Linked DNA regions of Styela clava. The protein of the gene in region 1 purifies or fractionates together with the protein of each later gene. This does not show direct contact. Links are inferred from orthologs where the notes say so. Each region holds a gene or a part of one and is shown on either strand. Other genes may lie near its edges. The genes, in order: mini-chromosome maintenance complex-binding protein-like, DNA helicase MCM8-like and kelch-like ECH-associated protein 1.

What was found.
Region 2: the proteins of mini-chromosome maintenance complex-binding protein-like (region 1) and DNA helicase MCM8-like purify together in Homo sapiens (co-immunoprecipitation; 3 studies listed by BioGRID and IntAct, with this or other methods). This does not show direct contact. The link is inferred for Styela clava from reciprocal best matches to the Homo sapiens genes MCMBP and MCM8.
Region 3: the proteins of mini-chromosome maintenance complex-binding protein-like (region 1) and kelch-like ECH-associated protein 1 purify together in Homo sapiens (affinity purification with mass spectrometry; 3 studies listed by BioGRID and IntAct, with this or other methods). This does not show direct contact. The link is inferred for Styela clava from reciprocal best matches to the Homo sapiens genes MCMBP and KEAP1.

Annotation. Positions count from the first base shown.
Region 1 is NC_135258.1:12,528,344-12,532,102, reverse strand, and holds the start of mini-chromosome maintenance complex-binding protein-like, read left to right. Parts: upstream 1-1,325; 5' UTR 1,326-1,448; coding exon 1,449-1,506; intron 1,507-3,496; coding exon 3,497-3,579; intron 3,580-3,759. UniProt on the Homo sapiens protein: Associated component of the MCM complex that acts as a regulator of DNA replication.
Region 2 is NC_135257.1:6,810,895-6,814,653, forward strand, and holds the start of DNA helicase MCM8-like, read left to right. Parts: upstream 1-1,107; 5' UTR 1,108-1,263; coding exon 1,264-1,325; intron 1,326-2,301; coding exon 2,302-2,464; intron 2,465-2,966; coding exon 2,967-3,144; intron 3,145-3,458; coding exon 3,459-3,564; intron 3,565-3,759. Other genes in the region: TBC1 domain family member 22B-like, read right to left, coding at 113-272, 538-602. UniProt on the Homo sapiens protein: Component of the MCM8-MCM9 complex, a complex involved in the repair of double-stranded DNA breaks (DBSs) and DNA interstrand cross-links (ICLs) by homologous recombination (HR).
Region 3 is NC_135250.1:6,652,102-6,655,860, forward strand, and holds the start of kelch-like ECH-associated protein 1, read left to right. Parts: upstream 1-1,223; 5' UTR 1,224-1,455; coding exon 1,456-1,538; intron 1,539-2,747; coding exon 2,748-2,932; intron 2,933-3,258; coding exon 3,259-3,439; intron 3,440-3,759. UniProt on the Homo sapiens protein: Substrate-specific adapter of a BCR (BTB-CUL3-RBX1) E3 ubiquitin ligase complex that regulates the response to oxidative stress by targeting NFE2L2/NRF2 for ubiquitination.

The DNA.
Region 1 (3,759 bases):
CAAGATATATTACTTGGTAAAAAGAGAAATATATATACAAAAACATGTATTAATAAAAAAAATTTTTGCCTTACCATATACCGTATATATTAATAATTTTGTAAGGATTGCCGAACTGGATACCGATTTAGTTGACAGGAGTGAAATTGTAGAAAAAAAATTCTGAAAAGATATCGTCAAGCTGATTATAGTTGGAGTCTTCTAAAGCCAAATTGCTAAGTTGGATGCATGAAGAGGTGGGCTACACTTTACTCACCAAAGCCAAATTCACCAAGTCCATATTATATCAAATATAGTCATAGTCAAGTTTATTTCTTCCCATATCGTGAATCAGTGTATGTAATTATAATTAAAAAATAAAATAAAATAGGGCAGTGTGGTACTGAGGTAGGAGAATGAGTTATGGGAATATACAGGTTATCAAAGGTTGAAGCAAGGTTTTCATATTCATCAATCAGTTAATTTTATTTGGTCACTCTGATAGAAACAAAACAACAACAAACGGATGTGAGACGTGTATTTGTAACACAACAGTGCTTTTCCTACAAAACTATGGAATAAAAAACACTCGCTGACGTGAAATGGTGATGCTGAGCGCCTAGTTCAATTTCATTGCAGAAATAACACAGTGACAAAAAGTGTTACTAAAAAACAAGCTCGGTAAATAGATTGAATGTTCCATAGCAGTCTATGCACAAATCATGGATTGGGATATCGGGTCCTTTTGTCGTTCTCGATAAGTTCAATTTAAAATCATCGTATCCGTTCCAATGCTTCCAACATCAATATCGAATTTCCACGAACGACCACAATTGCAACAGGTGCAGCGGTCCCATCTTTTCACATTAATTTTGGACCCGAAATTATAATAGAGGTTGTCGACTACTAGGATGAGTTCAAATTTAACATGGATGATTCATCAGTCTTTGCAAATTAAATCGATGTGGATACCATTATTGTTGGACAAGTTAGCTGTTGCATTGATTTTATCATCGCGAGACGACCAGGAAAATGAAAGATGAATCTGCGAGTAGAATGTTTAATGGCATATGTATGTGATTATTGTTGCCAGGTTCTATAGTTACTATTGAATTATCGCACACATTCCAATTTTTTTTTTGAGATTAAATAAAACTATCAGGTATAACTTTTTTCTAATGAAATTACAAATGAGCCTGCATAAAAATACAACAAATATAATAATAAATTCATTATATGAATCCTAACGGAACATGAATATTACTCAAGGAAATGGCAACATTGATATTTCGCGCGGTAAAAGGTTCCCTGTATATATTTTTTTATAATCCGTTTGGTTGTTGATATGCATCCACTTGGCACGTGTTATTATTGTTCATCGCTCAGAGTACAGAAATAGCCTACTGACTTCCCCTTAATTCTGTGTTTGCCGAAGACATACCCGTAAACTTAAAGAAGCCTGCGACATCATGCCTTGCATAGAGAACTGGCAGAAGAAACCGTTAAGCATTGTTCAAAATATTTTCGGTGAGTACCGTAAAAGCGCCTAACTTCGGACAGTTCCTAACTTCGGACAAAATTTTTGAACGGCCATATCTTGGCTAAAACGGGGCATATATTGCTAATTTCAAATATTATAGGTAGCGCTGTTATATCTACATCTATTCTCATCTTTTTAATGTGGCATTATAATTTTTTTGGTACAAAAACGGCAATTTTGCCGAAAATTGACTGCCCGGCATTCAACGGCGCAGAGCGTCGCTCCTACTAAAGCTATCATCGTCAAAATACCATCATTCGGTAGAGGGCGATAACAATGTATATAATTTATTTGAGTGATCGCAAGATGTCGTACGAGATTTAAATAAAACCTAAAATTCTGAATTATAAATTCCGTAAGAATATTAAGATTTCACGCAGCGTCAACAGTTACGTCAACCTCACGTAGATTATTTTTCGCTCACTTCCGACACGACGTCACACTGCGTCGCGGAAATGAATTTTGACGCCAGACACAACGGCGCCAATATGACAATTTTCGTTAAGATAAAGACGGCATTCCAATGTAATATTTTTGTATTTTGTTCGGTCCATGTGTGAATATATGCCAAAATTACATTAATAAAAATACATGTCACACTTAATCGATGACGTTAAAAATCGAATATATAAAACTGTAAAAAATCAAACGTCCGTATGGCACAGTGTACTGACTTAACAATTATTTTATGATTAGTAGTCGAAATGACAGTTATTTGAATACGGCCTGGGTGAATTTTATTCACTCGAAGTTAAAAATCAACAAATAAACGGGACTTATATGTTAACGAAATTAGGTTGAACTTTAAATTAAACTTTACAATCGGATTCACCGTGTGTTTGATATAAATTATCACTTATAAAGATTACCGCGCAGAATAAACCAAGCTATCCGTCGAGAATATTAATACTTCAAAGACTTCGATAGAAGCCCGTTAAAATATTTCATTGTGGATTGAAACGGTTTGCATCAGATATATTTACGTATGTATTTCCTGATTAAAATGACTAACGTGTTGTAATACTTATCTGACGTAACGAACGAAAGATGTAAACATAGGACGACGGAAGTTTCAAATAATGCATTTTCGTCGTGACGTTAATGTTACGTTACGACGACGATCGAGCGTCTTATCTTCACGCAACGACGTGATTACGTCATCCGCATCGGAAGCCTCTCTCTCTGAGCGTCGCGGTTACGCAGTGAAGAAAATGACTGTCCGAAGTTAGGGCAGTGAATGATAACGGTCAGATGGCAAGAAAAATAGATTATTTCAATAGTGAAAATAGTCCAATTGAACCGAAATTTGCAGGGAATCTAAATTACCGCACGAATGTTTTACCGAGCAATTTTGGCACCGTTTGGACAATAAATGGCCGAGTTATTGACGAAAATATAGTAATTTTGTCCGAAGTTAGGCGCTTTTACGGTACGATACCGTAACCTGGTAACTGGGTCTAGCGACTGAGCGAAGTAGGTACACGCCGTACGGTACCGGTAACTATATAAAATGGCACCAAACAAAATTGTGACTTGCATTTACCGCTGAAACTGCTTCATTAATGCCAAACAGAAATGTGATGTGAAATTTTTAGGGTTGGTCCATGTAACCGCTGGTTGGTTAGGGCTTTCTCCACTATCAAGTCCATGCTGGCATGCGTCTGAAAACAAATAACTGGCTACCGCCGTACCGGTACCAGGGTACCGCCGTACCGGTACCAGGGTACCGTAATAAATTTCATTCAAAACATGTATTACAAATTTCTTGCTATCGACTAGGTCTTATTTTAAGGGGAGGGCTTATATTAATATCATATTGAAAATTCAGGCTAGGTACCATTTTCGGGTAAACACGGTAGCAACAGACCAAACAAGATCTGAAGAATAACATACCCTAATACAGTAATAATACTGTAATATCTACATAACACTGTTATATTTGCCGCTCAAATGTTTACTGATGTTTTAAATCTATAGAAAATCGCAGTAAAGATGATTGGATCTCAGAAGTTGCAAAATATTTTGAATCACGTTTGAGTAATGAAGAAAATATATCAGTGGTGAGTTATGGCAGTGTTGTAGTCTTATATGAAAACTTGTTTAATTTTCAAGCATGTTTAACTCATAATTTTGTAATTGTTATAGCTTATCTATCCGTCTGTGCAGTCATTTAAATGTGACAAATAGTATACCGGTACCTGTAATATAAGCTTTTGTTGGTTGTTTTGTTCATTAGGCCT
Region 2 (3,759 bases), on another chromosome or scaffold:
AATTTACAATGACATATTTAAAGAAATTTTCGAAAACATTTCGCCTTTAACAAGTTCAACTTTTTTTTTTTCAAGTTTGAATTATAGAACAACAGCGTGCGTTCAATACTACCTTTGCATGTTCTGGATGAATGTTAATTTTTGAAACAGCATCTCTGAGAAGATCATCTTCACTAGCGTCCCATGCATCTTCTGTATGATGCTCAAATTCTTTGAAAGACAATTTATGCCTCGGAACTGGTGATATGTTTTGTGTTGAGGATTTGATTGACCTACAATGTATAAAGTTATTGCTTACAATTTCTAATAGACAGATAATTATTTTGAAATATACACAAGGCCAATGATACATAATATCAAGTGAAATATAAAGCTTAAATTCTGAAACCTGCAGAGCTGTGTACACAAACAGGTAGGTCACTTGTCAGGACAATCCTACAATTAAACTCAAATACAAGCAGATTGCATATTGTTACTATACTGCTATCATCTCAAACCTTTGTTCAGTTGTCTATACAGGAATGAAAAAGTACTAACCCTCCAGGCATTTTCGGTGAAGATCTCTTCCAAAATGGAACTTTGCTTGGCGATTTGGAAGACATACCGGTAGCTGTCAGGCTGTTGGTCACTTAGTAATTACGTATTATTTCAGTATTTCGACTGTTTTTGCACAGTTTGGTTTTTATTCAGTTACCGTATGGGAGCTGATCTTCATTCAGTTTTTAATAACAATCCAATTTCAACATTCCCTAATTCAGTAATAATAACCCAAGTTATAACTTTAAATTAATATCTTGAATCAGACACACAACACTACCAAGCAATGTATGAATGTCCAGAATGAGAAACAGGCAAAATTGCCCTCTGAACTCATTCCACCCAAGTACCACAGGTAAAAAAATAGAAGTAGCCAAAGTAAATTACAATGCAAAGAGTAGTTACGCGTCATCGCCTGCACTGGTGCGTGAATTACACTGTAGTGATTATATTTTCATTGTTTTTTGAATTGGAGATCATCTATGAATCATCGAAATAATGCAGTAGGTATACATATAAATTTTGAAGCATAATTAAGAAACTATTGCTCCATTTTTGTAATCGCAATTATATTTTCGCTACAGCAAGTCAGCTTTTGGTGGGAAGTTTGGAAATCCCCACTTTTCCACTTTCTGCATTTGCATGTAATTATGTTGTTGTGACCGGTTATTTTGCGTGTAATCTGATCTACAGAAATACCGAGGAATTAAAAAAAGAAATTGAAAAATGACGACTCCGCCCCAAAAGCAGAATAGGAAGAAAAAGAAAAGCGGAAACAGCTTTTTTCGGTAAGACATACCTACCGTAACAACAGAAGAAAAGGGACATGAGAGTTTGTAATACCGGTAATATCCTGATATCTGGCCAAGCTGATTCGTTTTTTTCTATATACCGTACCGGTACCAGTATACAGATATACCTGTATCTTTAGTTGCTTTCAAACTTTAATTTTTTTTTTAAATGCATGGAGCAGTAGGGAAAGTCTGAAAGTTGTCTGCTTGTGTTCAATGTCTGCTACATTGTTCATTTCGCAGTACCAGTGTTCATGATATTCCATAGGAGGCATATTAATTCTATTTTTTGTATTATAATAATAAGCAAAATATGCATTTTTTTATTCTCCACATAGCCTAATTTTCACCCTTCACTGCTTCAGTCTTTTAATACAGTACTGCAGTAATAGCAGCAATACATCATGTATCACAGTTTTGCAGCTAACGTTAGATACAGAGATAACCGCTCGGGGTTCTGAGGTTTTCTGTGAGTTCACCACCCGTGATTAGCGATATTTTTGGAAATTTGGCAATGTTATATTTACACATGGCAGCATGGTGATGAATAAATATCATTAAATTTTGTTCATTATGAGGTTTCACTCTAAGCATGGCTCTGGGCAAGATACCTACTCGTTTGCAACGATTGAAAATATTTTAGTATTGCCTACTAAATTTAGTATATAACTGGGAAATGGGTTGGGGCATGGGGTCAAGTATGGGATATTTAACGTGTGACACTAATATAGTTATATCCTCACTCTAGTCATAACAATATCACAATCAACATGTTTCTTCAGTATCGAAGTGAAGAAAGTCAATGCAACCTCGTTTATTTGTTTACATTAAGTTTTTTTTTAACATGGAATTGCCTTGTTATCAGAGATTTCAGGATCTCTAGTATGTGAACCTATAAATATTAAGCTACTGTCTATTTTTTGTCCAATTTGTTCTCTATGCATTATTATTCGATGATTTCTGTTATTTTTAGCTTCCGTGGCCCTCGAGAGCCTCAAATAGTTGAGCTGACTCAGCCAAGAGTGAATGTCCGTCCAGACTTGGTCCGAGGAAGTTTTTGTCCGTATCGAGCCTGGAAAAACTATTTTCCAGTAGAAGAATACAATCTAGGATCTGCTACAGCTTCTATAGTAAAGGTATAATTTCAAGATCTTCATTAAAGAGCATATCTTTGCACTATTAGTAGACTTCATCTTATCCATTTGAATCTATTTGGCTCTTTTCATTCCCCCCCTCAAAGACTTTTGAATGCTCATTGCTCTATCATTATGTCACTTTTCATTCATAAAAACTCCATATTTGTTGTTTAATCTCCAATGTATTATCAGTTAGTGATAATCTGAACTCGCACTATGGCTTTTGTAAAGTTTCAATTGTTTATAATTTGAGCATAGGTACTAAAAAAGGTAAAGAATATTAGTGATAGTACCGTATTCACAAATGAAGAGTAAATGAAGAGAAAAAATAAATCCTCAGCAGCTTTTTTATTTTTACAATTTTGAGTTCAGTGAAACCATCTCTCTTATCTTTTCAACGTTATTGGTTGTGTTTTCATTTTGGATATTTATTTGTTCAGAATAAAAAATTCAAATTTCATCAATTGTTCATAATATTTATTTATTTTAATTAAATTAACAGGTTCTAGAATTATACATGAAAGATTATTTTGATAAATGTGATCAAGAAACAATATTGAACAGCGAAAGTATCACAATCGATTTTAAGGAGATAACATCACACAATGTCATCAAAACATCATTACCTGAGTTTGCTGATAAACTATTCAATAATCCTGATCACTTGCTGAATTGTCTCGGTAAGTTTGGTGGCCATAGTTGATCGGGGCGCTAGATGGATTTCTGGTTATACCAAATTTATTCCAAAATGAATGGTTTGGTAATAATAATATCAAAATATATTCATAATGACAATCTTTGTTAAGATTCTCAATCAATTGACTTTCAAGTAACTTTCAAAATTGAATTACTATATAATAGTCATTTATCTTTATCAAGAATTTTGCTAAACCATTAGTGATCTGATGACAATTCGATATTTTATCTTTTTTCGATGCTATTCATTGTTCCCTCTTAATCTGTTTTAGTTTAATAAATATTCTTGTTTCATTAGGATTAGCGGCTCATCAAACCGCTGTACAAGCATGTCAAAAACTTGGAATAGAACAAGATGGAGAGGATAATAAACCTACTTCTGTTGATGATATTCCTGTAATCAGGTAGTATTTTCAGAAAAAAAAATGTAGTTTTTAGATTGTTGTATCACACCACACGGTCATTTGAATACTATTCAAATGATATTAAATGGGCATCGCTATAGAAATCAAGGTATGGATTTTATGTCTGATAAGAGTCTAATAGGAATTAAAAAATCATACCTCAGGCTCCAAATTCCAAAAAATTGATCAAGATAG
Region 3 (3,759 bases), on another chromosome or scaffold:
GTTGGATCAACTGTACAATATCACCCAATCGGTAAATAAGAACTAAAGTATTACTGTATGTTTGAAACTTTAAATGATACGTATACGAGGAAATCCCCTTTCAAAATAAGTCTACGCCCTCAATTGTAGAGAGTAGGTACGTCTATCTACCACTTGACGACTGAAGAATAAAAAAAATGGGGAACTTTGTTGCGTAAGAACAAGAGTTTTGTGGCACAATTTTTGAGATATCGATAGCGGTACCGATTGTCTTTCGTTGTGGGCGTTGGCCGCTTTGACCAATCAGGATCCAGAGACCAATTTTATTATTGTGGTATTTCTTAAAATGTTAGGTGGTTTGGAGAAAGCTGCCTTATACTCACGCAAAAGTGAGTATCTTGCGAACAAAAATAAATATACAATATAGTCAATAATTATATTTTGATGTTTTGTAGTTATATCTTTCGAAAGTACGCCTAATTAAAATATTATCGGTCACATATTTTTATGGCATGTTGTAATTATTTTATTCCAGTTATGGTACTCGGGAACAGCCCGAGCGCTGAATCATGCTTCCACAACATTCCGGACATTTCCTACAGCGAAAACAAGTATTCGACAGGGTTACTAAAAATCCTGGTAAATATACACTAAGTGTTTCCACGGACTGATTCAGATAAAAATATCAAACGAGATAAGCCATGGACAATACGTATGAACACAAACAAAAGACAGGCTAAATATATACCTTTTGAGGCAGGCAAACGACCTGAGGTTGCGCGCTTCAGCCAATCAAACAGTTGGGCTTGTCTCCGCGTCGTGCTCTTTGTCCGGTTGTCAGTTTGTTCTTGTTTAAAAAAGAGAGTTCGATGAACCGTAAATTATCATTGCACGTGCGTGACTCAGCAGTCTGCTTTTATTTCTTCGTTGTTGATTTCTCTCATTTTCTATGGTTCCCTGTACAAGTTATCGCCATATTTTTCAGACCAAACGCCGAGGGCGGCATAGTGACTGCTTTATGTAATTTCCGTAGCTTTTTTGAGGTTTTGGTTACCTACAAATTAGACCGCACGATATCTCAGCTGTTCATCATATTATAGTTATATTGTGTTGTAGTTTTAGATCAGGTTTATATGACATTAGCTGTGTTAGCCTTCAGGTTTATAAGAGCATGTCATACTGCTGTACTGAGTCCGTACCCTGTATGCAGGGTTTATTATTCTGTAACATTGTAACATTTCGGTTGTACCATATTCGTAGATATATAAATAAATGGAAATGATGCATAACTAAACAGGCGGAATGGCTATGTATGTATGGAATTCTGCGATGAAATGTTATATATCAACTTTAACAAACGTACTGGAATTATACCGAAGCAATATCTGTATATCGTACTACTAGATAGTAAAGTACTGCTTAAACCCAAAAGCGCAGTACCATTCTACCACTGGCTTCAATCAAACCTACAATACAATGCCTCGAAAGAAGAATTCATCTTCGTGTGAAGTATCAGGAAAATGTCCTGGGCAAGTAATTCCGACGATGGACGGAGACAGGTATGTTGATTCAGAGTATGAGTTCATCTTATCGGGTAAACTCGATAAAAAGGTTTGCTGGTCAGTAATTAAACACAGCCGATTGCGATCGGACCATTTACAGTATATATATAAGTTATATATATCGTTTTTCATAGCGAATCACCGCTGTATTCAAGTAGCTTTGATATCACATACGTTTTTTGACCTGTTTGCCCCGTTGGGCAACAAATTTATCAGTCTTTGCATTGTGTTCTGTTCTTTTCTGCTGCTTCTGGTAACTGCGGTAACATCTGGCGGTACCCACTTCCCACTTTACTGACGAATATGGTGATTTACTAAAAATACACGAAATAGCTGTTTTTCAATCAAACGCCTTCCGAGCCTGGGATACGTGCGATTGGTGTCGTTAAGGTGAAATTATACTGATTAATCATCAATCTAGTTTTGTACTATTTCCGGATATCGGTTACGTAGGTGCTATTTACGTTTGATCGATAAAAGCTTGCATGCAGTTTCACTTGCCGATGCTGCTAATTTTACAAACGAAAAATTGCTTGTCCCGATGTCCAATAATACTTTTATGGTCTCTAGAAATTAATGCTCATGATGTCACAATGAAACAAAGCTGATGCCTAAATTGTCAAATTGTAAAACGATTTTCATTCAGTATATGACCGAGTCAATTTGTTATTAAAAAAATGCTAATTAATCTTGTAGTAAAAATATCAGACAAAATGCCAGTCCTGTCGCGATGTTATTAATTTGGCTTTGACTTGCCGTTTCAAATGACCTATCATTTAATCCATAATAGTGCAAGTAGGCATTACTGTGCTAACAGTGTTCGTAGCTAAAAGAAAGAAAAGTGGCACAAAAAATTCATGCATTTCTTCTTGGAGAAATCGCCTGGTTATGACTTTAAAATCTGTGATAGAATCACATATATTACTTTGTAACACACGATAATTTGACCGAATTTGAATAAAAATTTCCAACTTTTTCGTTAATCGAAGTATTATCTTTACGTAATCCGGGCGTGGAAAGTACGACAATTTTATGTGTACGATATGGTTAACATTGAAACTTTTAATTTTTTTGCTCGCTGCCGAGGAGTTCGCTTATCCCTTTTCGTTTTGCTCGATTCCTAAAACTCATATCACTCCTCAAAATACTTTGCTTGCGAAAATTCACCACATAATTATATTTTTATATATTTTCCGTGACTCCTAGGTTGGAAAAATACGAACAGAAGGAATATCCAAACGATTCTCTGGCCATCATGCACGAGTTGCGGTTGAATGGACTTCTTTGTGACGTAACAATAAAACTTGAATACGATGGGAAAAAGCAGAAATTTCACGCACACAAACTAGTGTTAGCAGCGTGCTCGCCATATTTTAAAGCCATGTTCACTGGTAAATGATATTTTCATGTATAATTTTATACATTAAAAGATTACGGTAACGTAATAATGATATAATATAAAATAGATAATAATTTAGTTACTCCCCATATATAGGTACGGTTTCTCAAACATTCATTTCGGTTATGCCGATGTTTTAATATATTTTAATCAACACGGGCTAATGTTTTTCAACACCTTCCTTAGTGCAATATCATTCGCAAGCTATCGTCATCGCCAGGATCGACAAGGAAATTCAGTTTCTATTTCTAGACGCCATTGTGACGTCATCGATGAAGTAATAGGTTTCCAGTATGATTTTTTGACTGGTTTTTTCAGGTGGTTGCCGGGAACGAAATCAACCAGAAGTGAATATGAGCGAAATTCACCCAGAAATATTCACCAAGTTGCTTGATTTTGCATATACCTCAAGAATATCAATTAGTGAAAAATGCGTATTGTATATAATGCAAGGTGCAAACATGCTTCAAATGACCCATGTTTTGAAAATATGCTGTCAGTAAGTGTCATTTAATTAATTCCTAGTATTTCTTAAGGCTTGAAGTTTTTTGTGGTATTCTTCTACTTCCGTCTCTCTGGGCAATCCAATTTTTGCGGTTGCACCATTTTGTTTATTGTTATATTCTGAGTTTTGTGGTAGACCTGATTTGACTTTTGGAATAACCAGAATTTCAAACTGAAAACTGTAATCAGAAACACATACCATCTTTTACCCTTGGTGTGTTTTTGTATTTGTATCCATAATTTCGGTACTTCTGAAGTATGCGCACCAAGATGTCGCATAACCTGAACCCTAACCTGGTACACAACCTGAGTTCA